Callithrix jacchus: one gene and its partners. Each later gene encodes a partner of the first gene's protein in a complex. Links are inferred from orthologs where the notes say so. Each region holds a gene or a part of one and is shown in the gene's direction. Other genes may lie near its edges.

Region 1 (3,987 bases):
AAGACCAGCCTGGCCAACATGGTGAAACCCCGTCTCTACTAAAAATACAAAGAAAGGCCAGGTGCGGTGGCTCATGCCTGTAATCCCAGCACTTTGGGAGACTAAGGTGGGCAGATCACAGGTCAAGAGTTCGAGACCAGCCTGACCGACAGACATGGTGAAACCCTGCCTCTACTAAAAATACAAAAATTAGTCAGGCATGCCTATTATCCCAGCTACTCAGGAGGCTGAGGCAGGAGAAGCACTTGAACCTGGGAGGCAGAGATTGCACTGAGCCGAGATTGCGCCACTGCACTCCATCCTGGGTGACAGAGCAAGACAGTGTCTCAAAAAATAAAATAAAATTTTTTTTTTAATTTGGCCAGGTGTGGTGGCTTATGCCTGTAATCCCTGCACTTTGGGAGGCCAAGGCAGGTGGATCACCAGAGGTCAGAGGAGGAAACCAGCCTGACCAACATGGTGAAACCCTGTCTCTACTAAAAATACAAAAAATTAGCCAGAGCATGGGGGAGGGTGCCTAGGGTAATCCTTGCTACTGGGAAAGCTGGGGCAGGAGAATAGCTTGAAGCTGGGAGGTGGAGGTTGCAGTGAGCCGAGATTGTGCCATTGCACTCCAGCCTGGGCAACAAGAACAAGACCCTGTCTCACACACAAAAAAAGTTATCTGTGCATGATGGTGCACGCCTGTAATCCCAGCTTCTTGGGATGCTGAGGCAGGGAGAGTCACTTGAACCAGTGAGGCAGAGGTTGCAGTGAGCCAGTCGTGCCATTGCACTCCATCCTGAGCAAAAAGATAAACTCTATCTCAAAAATAAAAAAAAAAATTCCTCCTGCCCCTTGCTGTTAATTCCTGTCCCATCTCTGCCATGGGTGACCACTAATCTACTTGTTGTCTCTCTGAATTTGTCTTTTCTGGATCCTTTGTGTAAACAGAACCCTGCAGTGCCTGCTGTCTTGGGTCTGGTTTTCTTCTCTAGCGCTTGGTTTCTGTACTGTAGACCTGCCCCATTCCTTTCTGAATCTTGAAAAGGTTAGGGGCATTTGATCAAAGTGTCTTGAACAGAATGAATGATACTATGTTGACATTGACTCTCAGAGAGAGAAATAGTCAGCTGAACTGCTAGCTCAGGAGGAAGGGGATGGCGTTGCCTTGATGAGCCATCATATTCCCTGGTTCTTCTTTTTTTTTTGAGACAGAGTTTCGCTCTTGTTACCCAGGCTGGAGTGCAATGACGCCATCTCCGCTCACCCCAACCTCCGCCTCCTGGGTTCAGGCAGTTCTCCTGCCTCAGCCTCCTGAGTAGCTGGGATTACAGGCACGCGCCACCGTGCCCAGCTAATTTTTTGTATTTTTAATAGAGACAGGGGGTTTCACCATGTTGACCAGGATGGTCTCGATCTCTTGACCTCCCAAAGTGCTGGGATTACAGGCGTGAGCCACCGCACCCGGCTATTCCCTGGCTCTTTAATGAGGCCTCAGGTTTCCTTTGCAGGCTTGGCCCTGCCCTGTGTGTGCACCCCAAGAGAGAAGTATTTCAGGGCAGGATTCTAGGCTTGCATTTGCTCAGGAGGAAGTTCCAGCCTTGCCGCCAATGCTGGAGGAAGTTCCAGCATTGTGGGTGTTCGTTCTCTCCTCTTTCTGGTTACTTTTGTCCTGGCTTGAGTCCTTGCTCTTCTGCTATGACTTCTTAAAGGCAGGGCCAATTTCACTGGCGCTTCCATGTGATGTGTGTGTGTCCTGCAGGTATGTGACAGGGCACATCTGGGCCTGTCCTCCAAGTGAAGGAGATGATTATATCTTCCACTGCCACCCACCTGATCAAAAAATCCCCAAGCCAAAACGACTGCAGGAATGGTACAAAAAGATGCTGGACAAGGCGTTTGCAGAGCGGATCATTCATGACTACAAGGTACCTGGTGCTGAAGGAAGGTGGTGGCTTTTGTCACAGCTGAGTGAAGGTTACTTACGTGTCTCTTTCTTGCATTGACATACTTGATAATAATGTTTACTTACGAGGATTAGAAAGCAGAAAAAGCATAAAGTGAGAACTTAGAAGCATTTTCTTCGGCTGATGGGCTTTGCCCTGGCTGTCCGAGGGCCGCACAGTTGTGCTGTTTTCATCGCTGGGCCTCGGGGCCTGTGCATAACTGTTGCACACATGGGGGGGGCCAGCACTGTGGTGAGGGGCGTGCATGCAGGGGGGTCTGCTGCTCCATGCTGGGGCCCACATGCATGGCCCTCATCTCATTGTGCTTTGCCCACGCAGGACATTTTCAAACAAGCAACTGAAGACAGACTCACCAGTGCCAAGGAACTGCCCTATTTTGAAGGTGATTTCTGGCCCAATGTGTTAGAAGAGAGCATTAAGGAACTAGAACAAGAAGAAGAGGAGAGGAAAAAGGAAGAGAGCACCGCAGCCAGTGAAACCACCGAGGTACAGGTCCTCCTCCAAGCCCGCCTGCCCACACAGCCCGCCGGAGCTGCCAGGGTGGCAGGCTGGGAAGCACGTGTTGGCTGTTAGGTCCTTTCAGTGGTGTCTCTGTTCACACACGTGCACTGACACTATCTGCAGCATGTGGCGTTGGTGGGCAGCAGTGTGGGCGCTGCACCCTCTGCTCAGTGGATGCTCTCTGGGGCTGGGGGTCCATTTGGACTTGGAGAGCAGAGAGAGGAAGGCAGAAAAGAGGTCACATGGCAGTCAGGACACAACCCACTGATGTAAAAAGTGACTCGAGAAAGAGGCACCAGGTTGCCAAGGCCTTGTACCCATGTTTGGTGGCTGCTCTGCATGTGGTGCTCATGCCCTCCTGCTCTCTCTCCTCAGTATTGCCCCTGAGTGCCAGGCAGTGCAGAGTGAGCCAAACAAAACCCCATGTCTGCCCCCAAGGGGTTAGCTGTGTCCTGGTAAGAGAAACAAAAAGAGCCCAGACCCCAGTGTGGTGTGCTCCGATTGTGGTGGAGCTGTGAAGGGGAAGGAACCTTGAGGAGGTAAAGAGTGGGCCAGACCTGCCCACCACAGGATGGTGTGGGGAGAGGACCCGCCAGGCAGTGGGAGGAGGCGTGCTGTGTGCAGGGTTGTATGGCTGTCTGGGGAAGAGATGGTGGTGGCGTGGGTGTGGGCTATAGCTGTAGGTGCAGGGAGAGCAGTGACAAATGTTGAAGACTGCAGCCCCAGAACTTGGGACAGGCCATTGTGACTGGTGAGGAAAAGCCATGAACAGAGGCGGCTCCTGCATGGGCCTGAGCAGCTGCCAGGGGTGAAGCAGCCAGGCACCAACTGGGGACCTGTTGCTGCTGCAGTGCCTGTCGCATGTGAGAGCAGGGCTGTGAGGTGGGTGCCGGGTCTGTGGGCTCAGTGGAGCCTAGGCTCCTTCCACCGTGCACTCTCGTGCTCACTGCACCAGTGGTTGAGAGATGGCCACCTGCTAAAAAGCACCCCAGAGTGTCATTTGCTGGACAGAGGAAGCACGGGCAGGGTCCTGTGCAGGTTTATGCTCTAGATGGCTCCTAAGCAGAGCTCCAGGCCTGTTGTTTTCTGACTTGCTCCTGCTGGAGCGTAGCTAGCTTTACTGGTTTCTGGTGAGTTAATGCTCAAGTTCCACCTCCTAAGGGTGACTCTGGAGGATACCACATCCAAGATAGGCTTTGAAGGGGGAGGTATTTGTAATCAGCATGACAGCGACCAGCTGGTTTTGCGAACCCAGGCTCTGTGTCCCACATGCCACGGCAGGAGGTGGCCTGATGAGAGCTGCTGCAGGCCTGTACAGGGTTGGGGGTCACTGCGGAAGAAGGAATCTGGGCCATCAGGCTCCTCTGGGGTCCGTCAGAGCCGGTGCCCTGGCTCTGAGCCTTTCACAAATGTTCGACAGCACAGGGACACAGCCCCTGCTGGTGTAGGGAGAGGGCTCTGAGGGAGAACGCAGCTGGGTCCCACCCCAGGAGGGGACACCTGCCTGTGGCATGGCAGCGACAGGGCTGTTCAGACA
Region 2 (4,633 bases), on another chromosome or scaffold:
ATTTTTGTACTTTTAGTAGAGATGGGGTTTCATCATGTTGGCCAGGCTGGTCTTGAACTCCTGACCGCCTGTGATCCGCCCACTTTGGCCTCCCGAAGTGCTGGGATTACAGGCATGAGCCACCGTGCCTGGTCATAGTTAAATAATCTTAAACTACTACCTTATCCCATGTTCTGCCACTTTCACAGATGATCATGGAAATCTCTTACCAGGCTCTGAACCGTAGCAGGGGCGGATGGGCAGAGAGCAAGGCCGAGGGGACTCAGGGGGGGCTGCTCCTCGCCCCAGGGAGCAGGGAAGACATCTTCGAAGGCGGCTCAGGAAGTCTGTTGGCTCTTCTGGGGCAGGGCTTCTGGGGAGGAGGACTTCAGAGAGTGACCCCACCAGAGATCCTCTGTAAGTCACTTTTCTCAACTCACTCCCTCCCCCACTGAGGACCTCTCTCCAAAACCCCAAAGACAGAGAATAGAGTCAGATATAAAGAGAGGAGAGAGACTGAGACCAGGAGCAAGAGTTAGGAGGGGGCCTCAAATCCTGGCCCCTCGGGGAGAAGCACAACTCCTGTTACCTGGGTGAAGTTGCAACAGGAGACCCGGCAGTCTCACCACGCCTGAGGAAGGCAGCTAGGACCCTCAGCGTGTCTTCCCGGAGACCCAGCTCTTCTGAGCCTGCCATGGAGGCACCTATGAGAGAGGGGGCTAGGGACTGAACTCCAAGGATTTATCGAGAAGTGGAGGCTTGAGGACCGGGAGTTGTGAGTCCCAAGGAAGGTGATGAGGGCCCGGACTCCTGGGTCCTTTGGAGAGTGTGGGTCTGGGCGCTTAGACTCTTGAGTCCTCAGACAGAAGAGGGAACAGGACAGACTCATTAATCCAAGGAAAGCTAGGGGGTGGGTGCCCAGATTCGTGGACCTAAAGGAGGAGGGAGCTAGGGTCCTAGATTCCTGAGTCTTAGAGAGAAAGGAACTGGAGCCCCTGACCCTTATGTCTCCCAGGGAGAAGGGGCTTAGCGCCCCAACTCCTGGATTCTGAAAGAGGTATATGCCGAACTACTCAAACTCTTAAAGCATCGGGAACTACCAATCCCAGCAGGCTTTACGGCAAATCTTCTCCTCGGTCCCCGCTTCTTCGCCGCACAGCCTGCTGGGAGGTGTATTTCCAAATCTCCTGCTCCTGGAATATACACTTGGATGTCGGAGAAGCGGGACTGGGTTCTCACTCCTGCATCCCGGCCGCCTCCTCTTCCCTCCACACCCCGACCCTCGGCAACACTCCGCTGACCTGGTCCGGGGCCCCACCGCCGCCACCTCCACTCAACTTGCCGCCTTCTTCACTCAACTCGTACAAAACTTTCTAGGTCAACTTTCCCGCCCCTGCGCACTGGGCCGGGTGGGTAACCGGCCCAACGTAGAAAAGGCGGAACGCTGGCTGCACGCTCAATTTGCATTTGACGCTCCCAGCATGCCTCTGGCCGGAAAGCCGAAAAAGGGCATGGGGGCGGGGACAGCCCGGGCCCTACGGCCTGTCCCTTCGGCTCTGGGTTCTGTCACTCAAAGAATGATAAAGTTGTTTTTATTTCAAGAAGTCGTTGGAAAAGAAAGTCCCAGCGCTCTAGAACTCAGCTGACGGGAAAGCGGGTGTTCAGCCTCGAGTTTGAGAGCTACCCGGAGCCCCAAGACGGGTGGGCTCCAGCTCCCCGCACGCCCCGACCTTCCATCGTAGGTAACGCGGAAGAGCCCGGGAGAGCGTTGGTGGCGTTCGAGAACGAGGAGCGGGAAAGATGATGGGTCTGTACGGAAAGTGGAAAGGCAGGCTGTATAATCTGGGGAAAGTGGAGAAAGGAGGGAGTGGCCGGCGCTGGAGGTCTGTTGCAGAAAAACTAGAAAAAGTAGGGAGGGAAGAGAAAGAGGAGGCGTCTACACTGAGGGAGATCTAGAGAGGGAGGGGTGGACTCCGCAGATGCGGGCAGTTCGCTCTCGAAAGCTGAGGCGTGCTCTGGAGGAGGGAGGCTGGCAGTCGAGGGAGCATTGTGGATGGAGGTTCTGCGTTGGAAGTAGGTAGGGGATCTTCTCTAGGGGGACTGTGGAAGGGGGTCTACACTGGGCTAAGTGCAGGCGGTAGAGGCTTACAAGTGAATCGATTCTGCACTGACATAGCTAGGGAAAGAGATGTTACCCTGAAAGTGGGGTTACTTGCTTTCGATATGGGGAAAGAGGGGGTCTACACTGGCAGAATTGAGGGAGTGGAGGGTCTGTACTGAAGTCGCTGGGGAAGGGTGTGCCATGGATAGGGGAAGGAACCCTAGCTGATTAGGGAGCCTCTCTGGCGGATGGGAGGATGGGAAGAGGAGGTTTCCTGTTTGTACCCCCGAAAACATGGGTGAAGGACCTGTGCCGTAGCCCATGACAGGGAGTTCTGGGCGCGGAAACTCCAGGCCAGGTGGGTCCAGGAGAGGCCGGCCGCGCCCAGGAAATGCCCTGTACGCGCAGGCCGGACCATGGGAACCCCAAAGCCACGGATCCTGCCCTGGCTGGAGTTGCAGCTGAATCTGGGGCAGCTGGAGGGTGTGGCCTGGGTGAATGAGAGCCGCACGCGCTTCCGCATCCCTTGGAAACACGGTCTACGGCATGATGCACAGCAGGAGGATTTCGGAATCTTCCAGGTGCGTGCGACCAGGGACGCTGGAAACCAGGAGCTGCGCGCTGGGCGGGAAAGACTCCGAGAGGCAGGGTTGAGAAGGCGGCGGTAGCGCGCGAGGGGCGGGCTCGTGTCAACGCTGGTGGGTGGGGCCAGAACGGGAGGGGCGGGGCTAGCCGGATCAGCTGACTGATGGGGGCGCCGGGAGGGTCGGAGTTGCCGGTTCCGGGAATAGAACTAGAACTGGGAGAGCCGGGTTAGTACGCAATGAAAATGCATCCTATGGGTTTGGAGCTCTCTAGGGGCCGGGGTTCCTAGTAGTAGGATCCTGGGGGATTGTTCTTGAAACATCAGAGGTGAGACTTGGAGCCCCAAATCTGGGGTTCCTAACCACCGAATTAGTATAAGCCAGACGTGGTAAACAGTGTGAGGGACGAGGTTATCACCGAGGGTGTCCTGAGGCAGGTGGTGCACGGGGTTAGTAGGACTTGAAAGCCTGGCTTAGAAAGAAAAGGTTTTTGGGGGGCGCGGTGGTTCACATAGAATCCCAGTACTTTGGCAAGGCCGAGGCTAGAGGATCGCTTGAGCCCCGGAGTTTGAGACCAGCCTGGGCAACACAGGCCCCGTCTCGTTAAAAACAAAAGAGGTTTCAAAGGCTTTTGAAGAGGCGGGGCGCGGTAACTCACGCCTGTAATCCCAGCACGTTGGGAGGCTGAGGCAGGCAGATCATTCTAGAAAACTAGAGGTGGGGATGGAGGTAGGTGGGATGGGGGGATTTGGGGATGGACCTTGCAGAGTTACAACTTGCCAGGGAAAGAGGGTGGTGTTAGGATGCCGGAGACAGGGTTGGGGCTCCGGGACAGGATCTAGGTCGTCCTCTCTCACTATCCTCACACCACTGTTGCCCCAGGCCTGGGCTGAGGCCACTGGTGCATACGTTCCCGGGAGAGATAAGCCAGACCCGCCAACCTGGAAGAGGAATTTCCGTTCTGCCCTCAACCGCAAAGATGGATTGCGTTTAGCAGATGACCGAAGCAAGGACCCTCACGACCCACATAAGATCTACGAGTTTGTGAACTCAGGTCTGCCAGATCGGGGTCAGTGTGGGAGGCTGGGGTCCCAAGGGTTCCTGGCACCCCTAGCCACTTCAACACCTTTCTCAACAGCAGTTGGGAACTTTGCCCAGCCAGACACATCTCCAGACACCAGTGGCGGAGGCAGTACTTTTGATACCCAGGTAAGAATGTGCCCAACCTTCACGCCCCCACTGTCTGTCCTGTTCCCATGGACTCATCCTCTCCCTGTGGACCAGTGCGCCTCCCTCACCTCGTCTGCCCCTCACCTGAGCCAGTGCTGGCCCTGTCTGTCCCATGCTCCAGTCTCCTCAGGAGAAAATTCAGTCTTCACTTGGCATTGAAGGCACTCAATTTGCATTTGACACGCCTTCCCGGGATTTCCTGTAGATCCTTGATTGGCGGGGGGAGGGGGGGAGTGGGGGGACGGCTGTCTGTCAGCCTCTTGGGAACTGAAAACCTCCCTCCCTCCCCTTGATCCTGCCGCTGTCAGAGCCAGGGGAGCATCCCCTCTGAAATTCTGCCCAGGCCTTGCCTGCAGAAAGCCAGATCCTGGGGTTGGAATGGTAGCATGTGGCATTCATTAGAGTGTCTATTTGGCTATTGATGCCCGTGGCTGCCACTGTCCCCAGACTGGAAGCCCTCTGAAAGCAGAGCTCAAGCCTGACCTCCCTGCACTGCTGAGAACAGACCTGGTCCACATTTAGTCTCCAGAAAAGGCTGTGGAAATGCCTAATTCTCTTTTTGTTTCCCTCTAGGAAGACATTCTGGATGAGTTACTGGGTAACATGGTCTTGGCCCCACTCCCAGATTCGGGACCACCAGGCCTGGCTGTAGCCCCTGAGCCCTACCCTCAGCCCCTGCTGAGCCCCAGCTTGGATAATCCCACGCCCTTCCCAAACCCGGAGCCCTCTGAGAATCCAC
Region 3 (4,424 bases), on another chromosome or scaffold:
CATGAATCTGTGCTATTGGTGGCTAGCATGTGCAAGAAAAGCTGAGCCTGCCATGTGCCAGCGGGAAGGATACGTGGGAGGGTCTGGAGGGTGGGGCAAAGTTCACCATAGTTGCCTGGCTAATCAACAAGGGTGAGTTTAAGGGAAGTCTGTGCAAGGGCCAGTTCCTGCCTGGTCTGCAGTTCCCCAGCCTAATGAGATTTGCGTTTCCTTTCCGGAGTGGGTCCTCCTGGGACCACAAATAGCACAGTGGCAGGCGCAGCTGGCAGTGGGGCTGGCATAGCACACATTTCGTTCCCGAGGAGGGGCGCCCTGATGTGCCGGCACCCAGGGGCTTTGTGCATTCCGCGCAGAGAGCTCGGGCGTCACAGCGCGAACAAAGCGGCTTTGCAGGGCGCTCTCCTACTCCTCGCCATTGGCCGCCGGGCCGCGACCTCTCCCTGCGCTGGCAGAGTCCCAGCGCCTTGCGTGGGCACAAAGTCAGCCCCTCATCACCCCCCCGGGCACGGAGTAGGGGGCGCGCATGGCTCTCGGGCCACTGGAGATGGGTGGGAATGTGGGATCGGAGCTAGCGGCTCCTCCCCGAGCCCGTCCGCGTTGCCCTTCACCCTCCTCGTTCCCCCGCCCGCCACACCACCCTGGCACCTCCTGCCACCTGTTTCCTCGTCCTCCCAGCTCGCCTTCCCCTTCCCCTTATTTTGCATCCTAGGGTTCCAGGGACAAGGTCCTTCCCGGCCTGCCTACCACCCCACGCACTTTGGAGGCTCAAGGGCACCCGGTCCCGGATCTAGACCCGCTCATTGCACCGAACGGCGGAGCCCAGCTCCCGGAGGAGGCAGGAGGGACTCGCCAGCGTGGCACGGGCGCTCAGCGGGAACCTCCACCCTCCCTGCGGCCGCGCGTCCCCTCCTCGAATTCAGCCCCATCGGGTGCGCGGGGCTGCAGGGGCGCCCACGCTCAGCGGCGTCCCGGCGGTGACCTTGGAGGGCTCCTCCACCTATTCGGCCTCAGTTTCCCCTGGTTGCAGCGGACGCGAGGCACTAGGTGGGAGCAGCGGAGAGTTCCCGGGGCCCCGCCCCCTCGAGCAGCCAATCGGGCGCCGCCGTCCGGGGGGTGTGTCCCGGGGCCGGAGCCCGGGCGCCCCGAGGGCGCGCGGGGCGGGCGGGGCTTCCGGGTCGGGCCCGGGGACAGGAGCCCGCGCGGACCGGGGCGGGCCGAGGGGCGGTGCGTGTGGCGGGGGCGCGGCTGGCACGGACGCGCGGAGGCGGCGCCGGGCATGGGCCGTGGACGCGGCGGCCCCGCGGCAGGGGCAGCGGGCGGCGGGGGCGGAGGCGGCCGCTAGCGCCCTGCCCGGCGCCGCCTCCTTCGGCGCTCGTCCCACGGACTGGCAGGCGGCGGACCGCGATCCAGGTGCCCGCGGGCGGAAGGGCGCGCGCGGGGGTCCGCCGGCAGGGCTTCCCCAGTCCCGGGACCCAGACGGCGGCGGACGGGGGAGGGGCAGGGGCTGGGCGGCGCATGCGCGGGGCCCGGGGTCTCGAGGTCTCGGGGGCCCGGGGATCCAGGGTCAGGGTGCGCGGCCGGAGACGTGAGGGCGAGGGGCGAGGACACACGCCGAGGACTCGTGCAAGGGGTCCCGGGGCCCTGCTCGTCCTCCCTCCTACCGCCGGGGCCCTGCCTGGAACCGTAGACTCCACGGCTCTCCATGGGGCTTGGCGCTGCGCGGAGGTCGGGTCTGGCGACCGCAGCGACTCTAAGTCTTCGGCTTGTCCCTTGGGAGGGAGGCTCTCGGGCGGGACATCGGGGCTTGCCCATCCCTCCGCGCCGTGGCTTCCCAAGACCCCCAGGGATCCCTGAGGCAGGGAAACCCGGGCCCGGACTGACCGACCCTGGGTGGGTGCGCCCGGCGGCTGCCGCCGGACCAAGACGCGCGTGTTAGCTCCTCCGGCTGTGACCGCCTTAGAGGAACGCTTCCCGCTTGGTGCCCCAACGCGGCGGGGTGACCCCCGGCAGCCCGAACGGGCTGCTCTCGGCCGGGTGGCTTCTCTGCGGAAGCCGCGCCATGTCGCTCCCGGTGGGGGCCGCTGCGGGTCTGGCGCGGGCATTCCCAGGTCTTTCCGGAGTCCTGGGCTGCGCGGCCCGCGTGGTGCGAGTGAAGCCGGAGGGGCGCTGGGTGGTGCCGGTGGGAGTCAGGAAGGTCCGCTCTGCCCCGTCTCCCACCCCAACTACCAGGGCACACCTGCGTGCCTGCGCGTTTCTGAAGCCTGCTTTAAAAGTTAAACGAGAGGAAGTGTGCTCCCAGTGCCAGGATTCTTTCCAAGAAAAACCCACAGTTGTCTAACCGGCGGGCTTCATGCGACCCTCCGGGACTGCGTGCCCACCTCAGCCCCAGCTGCCCCACCGACTCCCCCCCCCCCCCCCCCCGCCCAGGAAACCAGGGAGGCCTCTCCTCTCCCAGCCCGCTTGGGATAAGGGTGCCCTGGAGAACCGGGTCAGGGCAAGGGCACGGGTTTTCCTGAGAAGGACCGTGAGACACCTGTGTGGTTGTGGGGCAGGGGCAGGGTGACTTTCCTTTTCCAAGGTGGTGGAGAGTTGGGGGCATCCAGAGAACATAGCGTAATCACTTCCTCCTCCATCTTCTTCCTCCAGGCTGAAGCTCCGGGCCCAGCCTGCTCTGTGGACACACAGTTTGCGGCAAGACAAGCTCAGAACTGAAGTTGTCACCACAGGTAAATAGAAAGCTTGATTTACTGTTTCCAGATGGAAGTATTTAAGTGTGCTGTGTTTATTTCTGTTGTGCCGCAGACCAGCAATGTGGAGGTTAATTATTATTACTTCGGGATGCAACCTTAGATACGTTTTCAGACTGAAAGTAGCATACATGGGCATGGATTCCCTTTTTTTTTTTTTTTTTTTTTCCCGAGATGGAGTCTCCCTCTGTCGCCCAGGCTGGACTGCAGTGGCACAATCTTGGCTCACTGTAACCTCTGCCACCCGGATTCAAGTGATTCTCCTGCCTCAGCCTCCTGAGTAGCTGGGATTACAGGTGCCTGCCAACCTACCTGGCTAATTTTTGTAGTTTTAGTAGAGATGTGGTTTCACCATGTTGGCCAGGCTGATCTTGAATTCCTAACCTGGTGATGTACCTGCCTGGGCCTTCCAAAGTGCTGGGATTACAGGCATGAGCCACCCCGCCCGGCCTAAGATTCACTTTTAAGTTCTGAGGTACGGTGTCAGTTTTGCCAGGAACTTCATTGCTTCATGGCAGCCATGTTTTAAATTCATGTTATCAATTTAAAACTTGATAACATTAACTTTGAGAAATGTGAGTGCTTAGCAGACACTTGGGACATCCACACCAACTGGAACAGAGCTGTTTTCATTGTGATTTGATTATTAAGCAGGTGGCTTGTTGGGCAAGGCCCATGACAGAACATGCCAGGGATGGGCTGAAGATACAGGCCAGACGATAGGATGTGTGTGGTCACCATCCGTGAGAGGCCAGGGACAGAGGGGCTGAAGGTGACCTGTGCAACTCTGAAGCAAAGGTAAATTCACTGGCAAGCAAGGCACGGTCTCTCACTCCTGTAATCCCAGCACTTTGGGAGGCTGAGGTGGGAAGACCACTTGAGGCCGGGAGTTTGAGACCAGCCTGGCCAACATGGTGAAACCCCATCTCTACAAAAAAAATATAAAAATTAGCCAGATGTGGTGCCAGACACCTGTAATCCCTGCTTGAGCCTGGGAGGTGAAGCCGAGATTCTGACACTGCACTCCAGCCTGCATGACAGGGCAAGACTCCGTCTCACAAAAATAAAATAAAATAAATTAATTAATTAATTGACAGTAGAAAAAATGTTTTCTTTTACCTCTTTCTTTCTTTTTTTTTTTTTTTTGAGATGGAGTTTCACTCTTGTCAGCCAGGTTGGAGTGCAGTGGCGTGATCTTGGCTCACCGCAACCTCTGCCCTTCTGCTGCCTCAGCCTCTTGAGTAGCTGGGATTACAGGCATCCACCACCACACCCAACTAATTTTTGTATTTTTAGACGCGGGGTTTTGCCATATCGGCTAGGCTGGTCTCTAACTCTTGACTTCAGGTGAATCACCCACCTCAGCCTCCCAAAGTGCTGAGATAGGCTGGGCGCAGTGGCTCACACCTGTAATTCCAGCACTTTGGGAGGCTGGGGAGGCCAGATCATGAGGTCAAGAGATTGAGACAATCCTGGCCAATACGGTGAAACCCTGTCTCTACTAAAAATATGAAAATTAGCTGAGCGTGGTGGCGTGCACCTGTAGTTGCAGTTACTCAGGAGGCTGAGCCAGGGGAATCACTTGAACCTGGGAGGCGGAGGTTGCAATGAGCCAAGACTGGGCCACTGCACTCCAGCCTGGCAACAGAGCAAGACTCTGTCTCAAAAAAAAAAAAA

Evidence for each region.
Region 2: the proteins of CREBBP (region 1) and IRF3 are in contact, whole or in part, in a crystal structure (PDB 5JEM), measured with the Homo sapiens proteins. The link is inferred for Callithrix jacchus from reciprocal best matches to the Homo sapiens genes CREBBP and IRF3. Residues at the interface, in NP_004371.2 of Homo sapiens: Leu2070, Thr2073, Leu2074, Lys2075, Ser2076, Ser2079, Gln2081, Gln2082, Gln2084, Gln2085, Val2086, Asn2088, Ile2089, Leu2090, Asn2093, Gln2095, Leu2096, Ala2099, Phe2100, Gln2103; in NP_001562.1 of Homo sapiens: Pro198, Gly199, Glu200, Glu201, Trp202, Glu203, Ser221, Leu322, Ile326, Leu329, Ile330, Thr333, Thr370, Cys371, Leu372, Ala374, Leu375, Glu377, Met378, Ala379, Val381, Gly382, Gly383, Ala384.
Region 3: the proteins of CREBBP (region 1) and PPARA are in contact, whole or in part, in a crystal structure (PDB 9IWL), measured with the Homo sapiens proteins. The link is inferred for Callithrix jacchus from reciprocal best matches to the Homo sapiens genes CREBBP and PPARA. Residues at the interface, in NP_004371.2 of Homo sapiens: Asp62, Ala63, Ala64, Lys66, His67, Lys68, Gln69, Leu70, Ser71, Leu73, Leu74, Arg75; in NP_001001928.1 of Homo sapiens: Val284, Thr285, Thr288, Glu289, Lys292, Phe297, Leu302, Asn303, Gln305, Val306, Thr307, Leu309, Lys310, His457, Pro458, Leu459, Glu462, Ile463.

What each region holds. Positions count from the first base shown.
Region 1 is NC_133513.1:5,846,337-5,850,323, reverse strand, and holds part of CREBBP (CREB-binding protein), read left to right. Parts: intron 1-1,744; coding exon 1,745-1,910; intron 1,911-2,267; coding exon 2,268-2,435; intron 2,436-3,987. UniProt on the Homo sapiens protein: Acetylates histones, giving a specific tag for transcriptional activation. Mediates acetylation of histone H3 at 'Lys-18' and 'Lys-27' (H3K18ac and H3K27ac, respectively).
Region 2 is NC_133523.1:43,428,332-43,432,964, reverse strand, and holds the start of IRF3 (interferon regulatory factor 3), read left to right. Parts: upstream 1-1,492; 5' UTR 1,493-1,779; coding exon of another isoform or gene 1,780-1,786; 5' UTR 1,787-1,958; coding exon 1,959-2,052; intron 2,053-2,488; coding exon 2,489-2,661; intron 2,662-2,810; exon of another isoform or gene 2,811-2,892; intron 2,893-3,546; coding exon 3,547-3,718; intron 3,719-3,802; coding exon 3,803-3,873; intron 3,874-4,467; coding exon 4,468-4,633. Other genes in the region: BCL2L12 (bcl-2-like protein 12), read right to left, coding at 210-352, 569-675.
Region 3 is NC_133502.1:213,850,694-213,855,117, reverse strand, and holds the start of PPARA (peroxisome proliferator-activated receptor alpha), read left to right. Parts: upstream 1-1,283; 5' UTR 1,284-1,410; intron 1,411-2,646; 5' UTR 2,647-2,726; intron 2,727-4,424. UniProt on the Homo sapiens protein: Ligand-activated transcription factor. Key regulator of lipid metabolism. Activated by the endogenous ligand 1-palmitoyl-2-oleoyl-sn-glycerol-3-phosphocholine (16:0/18:1-GPC). Activated by oleylethanolamide, a naturally occurring lipid that regulates satiety.